Rattus norvegicus: one gene and its partners. The protein of the gene in region 2 purifies or fractionates together with the protein of the main gene of each other region. This does not show direct contact. Links are inferred from orthologs where the notes say so. Each region holds a gene or a part of one and is shown on either strand. Other genes may lie near its edges.

What was found. Proteins that work in one complex are often made in the same cells at the same time.
Region 1: the proteins of Hspb1 (region 2) and Tgfb1i1 purify together in Homo sapiens (affinity purification with western blotting; 3 studies listed by BioGRID). This does not show direct contact. The link is inferred for Rattus norvegicus from reciprocal best matches to the Homo sapiens genes HSPB1 and TGFB1I1.
Region 3: the proteins of Hspb1 (region 2) and G6pd fractionate together in Homo sapiens (co-fractionation; 3 studies listed by BioGRID and IntAct, with this or other methods). This does not show direct contact. The link is inferred for Rattus norvegicus from reciprocal best matches to the Homo sapiens genes HSPB1 and G6PD.

Annotation. Positions count from the first base shown.
Region 1 is NC_086019.1:192,261,899-192,266,963, reverse strand, and holds the end of Tgfb1i1 (transforming growth factor beta-1-induced transcript 1 protein), read right to left. Parts: intron 2,879-5,065; coding exon 2,705-2,878; intron 2,479-2,704; coding exon 2,397-2,478; intron 2,207-2,396; coding exon 2,058-2,206; intron 1,887-2,057; coding exon 1,620-1,886; 3' UTR 1,061-1,619; downstream 1-1,060. UniProt on the Homo sapiens protein: Functions as a molecular adapter coordinating multiple protein-protein interactions at the focal adhesion complex and in the nucleus. Links various intracellular signaling modules to plasma membrane receptors and regulates the Wnt and TGFB signaling pathways.
Region 2 is NC_086030.1:26,429,845-26,434,096, forward strand, and holds Hspb1 (heat shock protein beta-1), read right to left. Parts: upstream 2,458-4,252; 5' UTR 2,324-2,457; coding exon 1,948-2,323; intron 1,287-1,947; coding exon 1,223-1,286; intron 1,112-1,222; coding exon 931-1,111; 3' UTR 796-930; downstream 1-795. UniProt on the Homo sapiens protein: Small heat shock protein which functions as a molecular chaperone probably maintaining denatured proteins in a folding-competent state. Plays a role in stress resistance and actin organization.
Region 3 is NC_086039.1:157,354,585-157,358,851, forward strand, and holds part of G6pd (glucose-6-phosphate 1-dehydrogenase), read right to left. Parts: exon of another isoform or gene 3,695-4,267; intron 3,645-3,694; coding exon 3,607-3,644; intron 3,498-3,606; coding exon 3,389-3,497; intron 2,468-3,388; coding exon 2,250-2,467; intron 784-2,249; coding exon 625-783; intron 399-624; coding exon 273-398; intron 1-272. UniProt on the Homo sapiens protein: Catalyzes the rate-limiting step of the oxidative pentose-phosphate pathway, which represents a route for the dissimilation of carbohydrates besides glycolysis.

The sequences.
Region 1 (5,065 bases), on a different chromosome or scaffold from region 2:
TGCATTTCCCTGATAACTAAGGATGCTGCACCCTTCTTTAAATGTTTCCCAGTCACTGTACTTTATCTTTTGAGAACCCGTTTTTTTTTTTTTTTTTTTTTTTTTTTTTTTTTTTTTTTGGTTCTATTTTTCGGAGCTGGGGACCAAACCCAAGGCCTTGCGCTTCCTAGGCAAGCGCTCTACCACTGAGCTAAATCCCCAACCCCTTGAGAACCTGTTTTAATTGGGCTTTGTTTTCTTAACATCCAGGGTTTTGTCTTAGTTCTTTTTATATGTCATATTGACCTATCAGATGTGTAATTGGTAATGATCTTCTCCCATTCTGTAGCTCTCACTTTGTCCAGATGTCCACCCAATAATCTAAAGTACCGAAAAGAGAGACAGAGACCGAGAAGCGGAGGGAGCCCGAGAAACTTGTTAGCAGTTAAAATCCTATATGCTCACCCTAGAACACAGAGCTGCCTTGTCTGACTTTCAGAGCCCACAATTATGGTTTGAAGCACGTCTTCCTTCTCCAGTGCTTCTCTTTTGACTTTGTGGTTAAGACCTATGTTCAAAATGTCTTTTTAAATAAACGATAACTCATGGTGTCCTCAACTCCTTGGAACGGGAGTTACAAATGATTGTGAGTCTCCACGTGGGGGCTGGGAACTGAACACACATCTTCTGAACATACAGCACTCTTAATCACTGAGCTGTTTCTCCAGCCCTTTTCTAAAAATTGTGTTTTATGTGTATGGGTGTTTTGTCTGCATGTTTGTCTGTGCACCATGTGTGTACCTGGTGCCTATAGAGGCCAGAAGAAGGTGTTGGATTCCCTGGAACTGGAGTTACAGACAGATGTAGGTGCTAGGAATTGAACCTGGGTCGTCTGGTGCCCTAACCCCACCCCACTGGTACAAGGTCTTATACCCAGGAGCCAGGCTGGCCAGACTGTTTTGAACTGATGTTGAACTTCCCTCCAGCATGCTGGGATTAGAGTCATGGACTACTGTACCTTTCACTCTGTCGCCATTGCTTTGACTTTTGGTTTCCAGGTGTTTGGGGGTTTTTTTGTTTGTTTTGTTTTGAGATAGTCTTATGTACCCAACCTGGCCTCAGTTTTGCTATGCAGCTTAGGATCATCTGCCCCGGCCTCCGTGTTGGGATTTCAGACACACCTCCCCATGCCTGCCTTCATCTGTTATTTGCTGTTATCCCAGGGAGGAGCACCTCTGTCCCCTCACAGGACTGTGGCCTGGAGCCCTCGGAGCACAGAGCAAGGGCTCTGGGTAGTAAAGCAAGGATCGCTGGCACTGTGAGATGTGGAGCGTGTTTTTATGTTTGTAGAAAAAAAAAGTACAGAACAGTGAGCCATGGGTGAACTGGGACATCTTGGCCTCTAATCCGTCAGATTAGAAAACCAGAATCGTGTCAAAGTGAGAGCTAGTGGGGCCCTTGCTGAGCTTGACAAACCTGGAGCACTCTCCAGTGGCCGGGCCATAGTGGGGATGGAGGTGGGAGTACAGGCAAGAATGCCTGGGCAGCTCCAGAGCTAGGGATCTGGAGGGCCCAGTCTTTTTCAGGGAGAACAGGTTTTTGGAGGCGTGGTTTTGGAGGTCTGTGATCCCAAGAGGAGGTCAGCCAAAGAGCTTCAGGAAGCAAGGCTGGCAGTAAGGCTTGCTGGCACGCTCCTGGAAGGAGCCTTTGGTGAGTGGGCGTAGGCAGAAGGTGCAGGTAAAGTGATCTGGGTGGAAGCGGCGGCCCAGAGCAGATACACAGCGGCCAGTCACAGGGAGGCCACACGTGGCACACAACGAACCACGCTGAGCGTGGAAATGGTTTTCACACAGTGGGCGACCCTCGTGCTCAAAGAAGCTGCCTCCGGAGAAGGGCGCGAGGCATTCCTAAGGAGAAATTAACAAAATGAGCCAAAACCCTGACGAGGGAACCGGTGTGGATAACTTATCATCTACCCTGACTCCTGCAACTTCGCAACATAAGTCGCACAGAAATGGAGCGACTAATCAGCGAAGCATCCACCCTGGGCTTCTGGCCCGCTCCCCACAGCCACGCACCCTGCACACGAAGCAGTCTGGGTGCCAGAGCGCGCTGAGTGCCGAGATGTAGTTATCCAAAATGGGTCCTTGGCAGCCCTGGCAGCGCGGGGCGAACAGCTGCAGGAAGTCCCGCCGGCAGTAGGGGCGGCCCTCCCGCTCGTGGAAACCTGGGGGCGGGGACAGACGATGTGGGCGGGACTACAAGATTCAAGAATGGCAGGGGGTACCGGCAGTAGGGAGGGAGGGATAGGGTTTGGGACACGGAGAGGACGGGCGGTGGGTGGAAATAAGGGCGGGAGTTGGGATCCAGGGATGGACAGGACAGTGGACTGGTAGCTTTTACGTTTCAACTCTCACCCTCTTCTCCAAAAGGCTCCCCGCAGCTGACACAGCAGAAATGTTCTGGGTGCCAGTGGGTGCCCAAGGCGGTGACCATTTTCTGCATAAAATGAAAAAGGACACTACTATCACCTTCTCTTCCTTCTTCCCTCCACCTCCCTCTGAGAAACTAGGGAATGCGGAAGAACTAACAAGGAATCTGGGGTTGAAGAGGGCAAACTGAAGAGGCGGGGTGAGGTAGGTGAGGAAGTAGGTAGAAGAGATGGGTTTCGATTTGGCTGGTTCCCTCTGAAGCAGGTTCATTGGTGGGGGTCTGCAGAGCTTACATGTCGGATGGGTTGGTTGCAGAAGCCACATCGTGGGGAGAAGCGCTCAAAGTAGCACTCAGGGCAAAAGGGAGCCCCATCCTTCTCGAAGAAACTGCTGCCTCCCAGGGTTGTGGAACAACCTCTGCAAAGGAAGTGCTCCGGATGCCAGGCTCTACCCAGGGCGGTAACCACCTGCGGAGTTGAATCGGAGGTTTCTGTCAGAACCTGGTAGGAGCTGGACGAGCTAAGGTTTACACGTACCTGGCATTTACCGGGCACTTTCCTAGTCTTAACCCTGACGGACCAGAATTGAAAGAACAAAAACAAAAACAAACAAGCTTCCAAGGCTCAACAAATTGTGTTAGAGGTCCATAGCTGTCCTTCCAACTTTACCACAGAGTTTGTGTACACATAGGACATAGTGTATCTGGGCCCACACTCCCTCTAAGGGCCCAGGAAAAGGTTTAGTTACTTTAAAGTCTATGTAAGGTGTTTGTTTTTGTTTGTTTGTTTGTTTGTTTGTTTGCTTTTTGAGACAGAGTCTAAGTTGTGCTGGCTTTTAATTCACTATGTAGCTTAGTCCTCCTACCTCTCAAACTCTGTGGCCCTAGAATTAAGGCGACACTGTCATGCTAGAAAACAGAGTCCTCTTTATGCCACTACAGAGGTAAGTTTTAGTAGGGGAAGCACCCCATGAAGTCTGGAGTACCAGAGCCTCCTCACAGAGGTCACACCACCCTGCTTGCTTTCTGAGGTCAGTGAGTCTGGTTTGGGAGTCAGGTACTAATCTAAGGAGATGCTTTAAGTCAACCAAGCACAGCTATTCTGGAACATATCTGCTCAATCCATGATCCAAGACGTACAACTTCTGGACCAGAAAGGGAAGAGAGACAGATTTATGATTCCAGAGAGATACTAGGCAAAACTAGTGAGTCCTTTGGGAAGATTAAATGAAATAGGGGTATGACAAAGAACAAGCACAGTGGCCAGCACACGTCAGTGCCACACCAAATACCAAACAGGTTGGAATTCTTACCCTGCGGCTTATCACTAAGAGTTCCAGTTTTCTCACCCATAAATATACATGGCGTGAGGGGTTAGTTCAAGGGCAAGAGGTGTATTTAGCATATAAAAGCCCTGGGCTTAGTCCCTAGCACACACACAACTTTTTAAATTAAGAAAATATAAAATAAGAGGGACTTGGAGAGATGGCTCAGTGGTTAAAAGTGCTGGCTGCTCTTCCAGAGGACCCGGGTTCGATTCCCAGCAACCACATGGTGGCTGAGTCTGTTAACTCAGGCAAAACACCAATGCACATTTAAAAAAAAGAAAGAGAGAAAGGAAGGAAGGAAGGAAGAAAACATAAAATATAGCTGGGCATGGTGGTTCACACCTGTACTTCCAGCACTTAGAAGGCTGAAGCAGGAGGATTGCCATGAGTTCAAGACCAGTCTGGGCTACAGAGTGAGTTTCTGCTCAGCTTAGGTTACAGTGAGATGCTGCCTCAAACATTTGCTTTCAAAAAAAAAAAAAACCCACATAAAATATAAATAATACTATCCATTTCAGGTGGGCATAGCGGCACATGCTGAACTTTCTAGAACTTGGAAGGTAAAGGGAGGACAATCATGGGTTTTAGGGCAGTCTATGCAAGACTTTGTCTCAAAATTCCAAGGGTTGGGCTACAGGTACTAGATTGATCACTTAGCAAACACAGTCTTGGATTCAATCTCCAAGAATTACATAGAGCCTGGGAAAGGGTGCCTATAATCCCAGTACTCCTGGGGTAGAAACTAGAGGATCAGAAATCAGAGCTTCGGGGCTGGGGATTTAGCTCAGTGGTAGAGCGCTTGCCTAGCAAGCACAAGGCCCTGAGTTCTGTCCCCAGCTTCGAAAAATAGAAAGGGAAAAAAAAAAAAGAAATCAGAGCTTCTCCTTGACTATATATTGAATTTGAGGTCAGCATGAGATACATGAAACACTGTCCCAAGAGTTAGGGTACAGCTCAGTGACAGGAGGTCTACCTAGCAAATGCAAGGGTCAGTCCGCAACATCACAAGAAAAAGCAAATTCCATTTCACAGATACTCATTGAAAGTGGGGGAAACACACAGTCCTAAATGGAACATCTATCTCCCACAGTATCCCCACAAGGCTCAGAGAGCATCACAGCACAGGGGATGGCCAGGCTGTAGGAGCCAGAGGTTGGGGAAGACTGCTGTGAATCGGTGCTTTCTCAACGTGACTGGGCTGGTGCACCCCATGCTGGAGATCTCTCAGGAGACCTACACAGTATGGAGCCAGTCAAAATTCCATCGAGGGTGAGGAAGGGCTCATTTAGCCTTCCCCTAGCAGAGGAACAATTGCCCTTGCTAGTTGT
Region 2 (4,252 bases):
GCATAGCTGAAATGGGAAGGTCATAGGAGAATGAGAGGCTGTGGGAGGGAAGCCTGGGAGCTGGAGTGTAGGGTAGGGGTGGGGAGAGAAGAGCTGGGGGATCCATAGGTACCTAATGCGGAGGAAGCCTGGAAGTTAGCGCTTTGCTGTACTAGCGGGGACAAGGAAATTGCTGTTAATAGAGAACAGAGCCAGCAGCTGGGGGAGGAGTTTCCTTTGGATCTGATGAGTAGTAGGTCTGGCTGACTCTTTTTTTTTTTTTTTTTTTTTTTTTACCTTTAAGGTGTTTTCATGTATCCCAGGCTGGCCTCACTTTGGCCACGTAGCCCAGGATAACCTCGAACTCCTTTCTGATCCTCCACTTCTGGAATGTGCCACCGTACCCGGTTTATTTGATGTAGAGGATCAAATGGTGCTTCATGCACACCATAGGACACTCTATTGAGCCACACCCCAAGCTCCTATTATGTTTGTTTGTCTGGTTGGTTTTGAAGACAGCATGTATGTGGCCCAGTCACTCTAAGAACTCTGTAGCCCAGGCTGGCTTCCAATTCACAATGCTTCTGCATTAACTTCTGGGTATTGGAATTACAGGCATATACCACCATTCCTAGTCTGGTAAATTTAATCTCCAGGTTACTCCCCCCACCCCACCCCACCCCCTGCCTCTTCCTAGGGGAATATTAGGCTGGACGGAGGAAGGGGCTGAGCCTAGAGCAAACACTTAGCAAAGACCCCAAAGGGTGCTCCAATTAGAAACACTCATCCCTAGCCCACCATAACAACTCTGGATTCTGAGAGGGTGGTGAGCAGTAGTTTCCAACTTTTATTTGAGAAAAACAGAAAGTACATGTATCAAAAGAGCATTCAGATTGACAGAGAGGGAGGGCTGGTGACGGCTACTGGGGATGGGTAGCAAGCTGAAGGCTTCTACTTGGCTCCAGACTGTTCCGACTCTGGGCCTCCAATTTGGGCACGGGCCTCGAAAGTGACCGGAATGGTGATCTCCGCTGATTGTGTGACTGCTTTGGGCAGCGGAGCCTCCACGGTGAGTGTGCCCTCAGGGGACAGGGAAGAGGACACCAGGGTGGGGTCCACACCTGGAGGGAGCCTAGAGGAGCAGAAACAAAGGACAAGGGTTACACATCCCTCCTGACCCCGCCCTCCGCCCAGGGTCCGCTCCCCCACCCCCCAGCTCTCCATGCAAGGAACCAGAACTCACGTGTATTTCCGGGTGAAGCACCGAGAGATGTAGCCATGTTCATCCTGCCTTTCTTCGTGCTTGCCTGTGGGTGGGGACAGAAGGAGGTCAGAGGCAGCCCTCTGCAGTCCTAGCTAAGGAATGGCTGGGGCCCCAAGGAGGCAAACAAATTAAGAGTGTGGTGGGATGCCTGACTGTCTGGGATCTTAAAACTTTCCAGAAAGTTCGCTTCTGAGATTTGGGATGCAAAGGTCCCGGACCTGGGCTTGGCTCTGACCCAGGCTTGGATGCCAGCGTAGGCATACTCGAAGCTGTGCGCACGCCCCCACCGCGGCTGGGTCTAGGGACCCTGACTGGAGTCCTGCCACTTGCTTATTTGGGGATGAGGTCTTCCAGAAGGTGCCTTGGGTCTTCCTTCATTTTGTTTCTGTGCTGCGGGTGGTCAAGGCCTCAAGGCCTCCGGGCTTGCCAGGCAAGACTCTGCCCTGAGCTACACCCCCAGCTGTTGGTCCTTATCATCGAAGATGACAGAGCTTTTAGGAGCAAACCTGCACCCCGCGTTCCGGGGCAAGAGAAGCAGGCTAGGGAGAATGACGCGGGTCTCCGGGTCCCTGAGCTCATTTCTAACTTTTCAGGGTCCTGTCCCTCATGGTTTCAGCACCCACCCCCACCCCCCACCTCCACTGCCACCACGTTACTCGCTCGCCCCACCAGCTTCGTCCCCTCTTGGGATAAGGGAAACTCACCAGTGATCTCCACCACGCCTTCCTTGGTCTTAACTGTGAGCTCCTCAGGAGCGAAGTGGTTGACGTCCAGGGACACGCGCCAGCGATCGGCCGTCTGTCGGATCTCTGAGACACCGCTGCTGAGTTGCCGGTTGAGCGCCCGGCTGAAGGCGGGCGCGGCCAGGGTCACTGCTGCGGGGCCCTCGGCGGTCGCGGCGGGCAGAGGGCGCACATAGCCGGGCCAACCAGCGGAGCTGAACCACTGAGACCACTCATCGGGAAACCGAGGCACCCCGAAAGCTTGATCGAAGAGGCGGCTGTGGGCAGGGTACCAGTCCCGGAACGGCTCCCAGCTGGGGCTCCGCAGTAGCGAGAAGGGCACGCGGCGCTCGGTCATGGTCTTGGCTGAGCTGGTCAGGGCTGAGGATCTAGAAGCACTGGGCTGAGGATCCGAGAAGTGCCGAGCTGGAGCCCCAACTGTGCTTTTATGGGTGTCCAGCCGGGTATTTTTAGCAGGCGGTGCTTCAGGTCTCTATTAATGGCAATGACCGTCTAAGGGGCCGTCCCTCGCCGCCCCTCCCCTCTGCATTCCTCCCCCTAAGCTTACGAAGGGGGCGGGCAGGCAGGGCCAGGAAGGTTCTGCCCCCATCTGGAAACTTCTCTAGTTGAAGAAAACAAATGACTGTAATACCGGTAGCTGGAGCAGTTCCCACTGTCGCTTAGAACGCTGCAGTCTGAAGGGCGGTGGCCTGGGGCCAGTCCCATCGTTTGTGGAGAATAAACCAGGAGGGGTACGGTCTTTTGTGTCGCAATTAGGAAGCAACTGAACCTGGTCTGAGCCAGAAGGAGGCCTGTGGGGACACACTTGTCAGGGCACACCTGTGGAGGTCTCTGGATGACCAGCCAGACTAGCTGTCTTCTACCATGTGTCTCTTTGGGGACCAAAGGCTTGGTGGCAGGCGCCTTCGTCCACTAAATATCTTACTGACCCTGAGACTTCTTTTTCTCTTCCTTCCCTCCTTCCTTTCTCTCTTTCTTTGAGACAGGGTTTTTCTTTTTTGTTTTAATGCTTTTTTAAACATTATTTTTTGTGTATCAGCGTTTTGCCTGCTTGTACGTCTGTGTGAGAGTGTCAGATCTTGGAGCTACAGAGAGTGTCAGATCTCGGAGTGCCCTGCGGGTGCTAGAATTTGAACCTGGGTACTAGGAAGAGCAGTCAGTCCCCCTAATCGCTGAGCCATCTCTCGGGAGACATCAAGCCTGGTGCCTGCAAACTGGATGGGCAGTGAACCCCCTAGCATCCTCCTGTTTCTGCAACTGCCCCACCCCTCCAGCCTAGCGCTAGGATTAGGATCTTTTTTCAAAACAGGATTTTTCTGTGTAGTCCTGGTTGTCTTAGAACTCATTAGACTAGGCTGGCCTGGATCTCACAGATCGGCCTGCCGTTTCCTCTGGGAGAGTTGGGATTAAAGGCTAGAGGCATCACATGGTAGCCACCTCCAGCTTTTATATGGATTGCTTTGTGGTCCATACAAAAGAAACTAGGGTTAAAGGTCACCTGTGATGTCTATTAGCATACCAATGAGCACTGGCCTCTGGGCTCACTGGGCAACTGAAATACTACTCTTAGCTCTTCTCAGCCCTTCTCACCCTGCCCCTTACTCATAAACGTCTCCAGTTCTTGGGGCTCCCCTCCCCCAGCTTCTCACGACTGTATGTGCTCTCTTGGTCCTCTCTCCCTCATCCCCCTCTCTTGGTCTTTTTTGCCCCATCTCTCTTTGCTGGCATCTGTCCCTCTCCCAATCTCTCTTCTCTCCTGTCCACACACACCCAATCTGCTGGCCATATGCAGTTCAGTTTCTCTGCTCTGGATTCTTCCAGACGCCTCTGACTGTATGCTCTCATATCCACCGTAAAAACTTTCCCCTTAACCACACCTCAGAGCAGCCATGTCCTCAGTTGTAGACCCAAAACTCAGCCCCCAAGTTCGCACAGCCACCTCTTTATCCACTTTGGGATTTTTCAAGTCCCCCATTTGTCTTTTTGTTTTTTTTGTTTTGTTTTTTTTTTTTTCTTTTCTTTTTTTCGGACCTGGGGACCGAACCCAGGGCCTTGTGCTTGCTAGGCAAGCGCTCTACCACTGAGCTAAATCCCCAACCCTTTGTTTGGGTTTTTTGTTTGTTGAGAATATGGTCTCATGTAGCCCTGAGTAGTCTGGAATTCTCTATGTAGCCAAGAACGACCTTAATTCCTGATCCTCCTGTTTGTACCTCTGAAGCGCTGGGATCATAGTGTCTGCCACCACATACAGCAGGAATGTCACATT
Region 3 (4,267 bases), on a different chromosome or scaffold from region 2:
GTGCCACTTCTAGGGTGGGAAAAAGGGAAACTAAGTTCTAGGGGCTCTAGAATTACCAAACAAAGCTTTCTAGTGACAAGATGGAAAACCTTGCTTCCTTACCCCTAGTGTTCCTGGTATCCTAAAGCAAGGAAGTAGACACTAACACTATTCCCTTTGGGGTTTGGCTGGATGAGAGTTATACCCTTCAATGGCTACACCCATCAGCTCAGTTAAACACTAGTCCTTACAGTGTGAAAATGAACTGAGTTGGGGTAGATATAGGTTCTTACCTGATGATCCCAAATTCATCAAAATAGCCCCCACGACCCTCAGTACCAAAGGGCTCTTTAAATGTAAGGATCACACAAGCAATGTTGTCTCGATTCCAGATGGGTCCAAAGATCCTGTTGGCAAATCTGTGAGAGGTACAGAGGAGAGGCTAGCATGAGAGACATTGTGGAAGGGTCCATGAATGGATGCTACCTTTGGGATTCCACAGTACAGTGGCTGTATCTGAGCCAAGTTAGAGCTTTGTACCTTGGCCAGCATCTAGGAGGAATTTGACTTTGGGCAGCAGGGCAGGTGGGGTTCCTCACATTGCCACCCTTGCTCTGGTCCTTTTCCACCCCATCCCCCGTGCACCTCAGCACCATGAGGTTCTGGACCATCTCTTTGCCCAGGTAGTGGTCAATGCGGTAGATCTGGTCCTCACGAAACAGAGAGGAGATGTGGTTCGACAGTTGATTGGAGCTCTGCAGGTCTCTCCCGAAGGGCTTCTCCACTATGATGCGGTTCCAGCCTCTGCTTAGAGCCCCCAATCATGTTATTTCTCAAATCTTTCCCAGGAATAGGCCTATGGCTATGTCATCCCCCCCCCCACCCCAGGGAGCAGGGCTTTCAACCACTGTATTCTCAGGTGACTCAGGGAAGCTCTGCTGGCTGCTACTGATCTTTACCCTGCACAGATAGCACCTAAAAGCCTCCACGACAACATGCTGGGGACTAGAACAGTTTCTGGGATTTTCCCACCTTGGTGCTAGGGTAGCATGATTGGCACATTCTTGGGTGGCCTTGTTCCCCACCTCCCCATGCCAGATCCTCAGTGGGTCAGAAGTGGCCCAGTAGCCAACAGGAAAGAAGGTAGATGGGGACGTCAAGGACATAGCTTCCTTACTAGTTTTATTTTAGTCAGTGTGAGATACAGTCTCATGTATACAAGGTTGGCCCAGAACTTGTTATGTACTTAGGAATGACCTTAAATTCCTGATTCTCCTGTTTCTACCTCCCAAGAACTGGGGTCACAGGTCACAGGTATCATGCCATCATGTTTGGCTTCGCTCATTGGTTTTATGTTCTTGAAGTCTTATTATGTTTCTCAGATTGTCCTGGAACTCCTGGGTTCAAAGGGTACTCCTGCCTCAATCCTTGAGCAGGGACTACAGTCATTGCCCAATGCAACTGACTTCAATTGATTTTATTTATTTTTTAAATTAGGTTTTATTTTCTTTTTGAGACGTTTTTACTATGAAGACCAGACTGACTTTGAATTTAGTATGTAGCCCAGGCTGGCCTTGACAACATTATAATGATTCTCCTGCCTCCTGAGTATTGGAATTACAACTGTGTGTCACTATACCCAGCTTAATTTTGTTTTGTTTGAGACAGTCTCAGTCTATGTTACGGGTTAGCTTTGAACTCCAAGCAATCCTCTTGCTTCAGTCTCCCTGATGCTGGAATTATATATGTCACCTTCCCCAGATTTCCAATGATTTTAAAAGACCAGGTTCCTTTCATTGCCACTCATAACAGAGCGCTAATGTTTTCTAAATTCAAGAGGAAGAGAAAGATGGCTTGCAGATAGTAATGCTCTCTTATGAAACAACACTGCCACCTTGTGGGTCTGCTAGGGATTCAGAGAAAAGGGGGGGTGGTTAAAAAAAAAAAACCTCACAATGAGCATCTGTTCTGTGGATCAACACTGTCATCTTGTGGTCATGGTGGGAAATGTTGCAAGGGGCCACTATTTTGTAGTGAGAGCCTTGGAAGTTAGAACCTGCCTAGTGTGTGTGGTAATAGCAAAGGTTGTTAGAAAACTCCAGTATTTAGAGCCTGTCCCCCTCCCCCCTTTTTTGAGAATATTAATCCATGTGGATTACAAACTGGGAGCATTCATCTTTTCAGCTTGCCTAGACTGGCTTGACCTGGGGGCTGTTTAGAGTAGTAGAAACAAGAGCAAACAGACAGGAGTGGGGAAAGACAGGCCTTACGTCTGACTCATGCAGATCTCTTGAATGTTCTTGGTGACTGCTTCATAGACAGTGGGGGGCAAGGCCAGGTAGAACAGACGGTTGGCCTGCATTCCCTGGTGCAGGGCATTCATGTGGCTGTTGAGGTGCTTGTAGGAGGCTGGATCATCATACTGGCCAGCTACATAGGAGTTACGGGCAAAGAACTCCTCTAGCTTGGGTCTTTCTTCTGGAGTGACCTGGAGATACACAGAACAATGCCAACTACTTTTCTCAAGAGTCTACACTTGTTCTGCCCCAAAGGAGTAGAAGATTTCTTTATCCTGGTCCCTCCTATCTCAACAATTTCTTGTTCCACAGCTAAGATGGGCTTCCCTTGAGTCCTGTCCTTGCTCTACAAGTACAGGAGTTTATTTCATCATGGTAACTTTGTGTACCTGCAGGCAGGGGACTGAGGCATATAGCAGGAATACTGTATGCAGATGGGGCAAATCACTGGCACATTTTACGTACCCTCAGGGCCCTCATGCCTAGAGGAGAAACTGGATTTTAGGAAAGTCTGACCTGAGAAAAAAAGAATGATCAAGAAGGCTGTTTCTACAAAATTATCATAGCAAACTATAGGTGGTGAGAAAATGTCAACACAGTACAATTACTGGGGAAAAGAGGTACTTGGAAGACTCCTTCATCCAGCTGCTGCCATGTCCTAGTGTGAAACCAGAGCACAGCAGGATGGGGCCAGAGTGGAACTGGAAAATAGATAAGAGGTTGAAGGGATCTTCTTGGGGTTGGGGATTTAGCTCAGTGGTAGAGTGCTTGCCTAGCAAGCGCAAGGCCCTGGGTTCGGTCCCCAGCTCTGGAAAAAAAAAAAAAAAAGAAGGGATCTTCTTTCTCTGTCTTTGTTCAGAGGTCAGGGAGAAGGTGGCACAAGTCAGTAGCCACAGCTTTTGTGTGGTTGGCAAGGGAAAGCAAGGATGTGAGGTGTCAGAGCTTGAGTATTTTGGATGGCCCTGCCTCTTAGCAAGTCAAATGAGAAGGGAGGGAACTGTTGCTTATGGTGGGAATGGGGACATGTCTCCTCAAGAGATACCTGGAGCTAGTCTTGCTGTGGGGTAGATGAAAGGGCAGAAAAAGGCTCCAGGATCCAATGTCATACTCACTTTAAAGAAGGGCTCACTCTGTTTGCGGATGTCATCCACTGTGAGTCGTGAGCGGGCATAGCCTACAATGAAGGTGTCTTCGGGTAGAAGGCCATCCCGGAACAGCCACCTGACGGTACAGTACAGCTGTTTTCAGACTGGGTAGGGAAAGCCAAGGCCTATCCCTTGTAGAGAGTATTTTGTGGTTGATTGGGGGGTAGTGTAGAGATATTACCTACCAGATGGTAGGATAAATCTTCTTCTTGGCCAGGTCACCCTGCAGCAGAAGAAACATGTCAGAAGGAGGTGACATGACCTAGATCATTCCCCACTGCTGGTGATCTGAGTCCTCATTTAGGGTTACCACTCAGCTAAATATATATCTACTATGCCCCCCATATATCTTAGAGGAGCTCTGAGACTTAAGCCTGCACCAGCCTTGTACCAATACAGATGAGTAGATGACTCTGCTGGGTTCAAGATAAAACCCTTGACATTGAATTCATTAGAGCTTAAGGATGACAAAAGCAGCACATAAAAGAAAAACAAAACATGTGAGATATGGCCTCAGAAGTCACATTAACATAAATAGAGCTAGAAGGGAATGAGTTGGCCATTCAATTTAGAAAGTTAGAAAAATGACAGCAGGAAAAGTTTGATGATGCAGAGCAAAGTCTTGTCTCAGTAATAAAGGCCAGATTTGGTGGTAATATACCCTCCCAATATATAGGGAGATACTGTTTCAAAATCCCCTCCTGTAAATCAGAATTAAAAAAATAAGGTGGCAGTGAAAAAATTCAATGGAAAAATTGGGCTGGAGATGATGCTTAGTGATTTTGGAGTAGGCAAGGGTTCTCATTTTCACCCCAACACTACAAAAACAAACAAGCAAGCAAACAG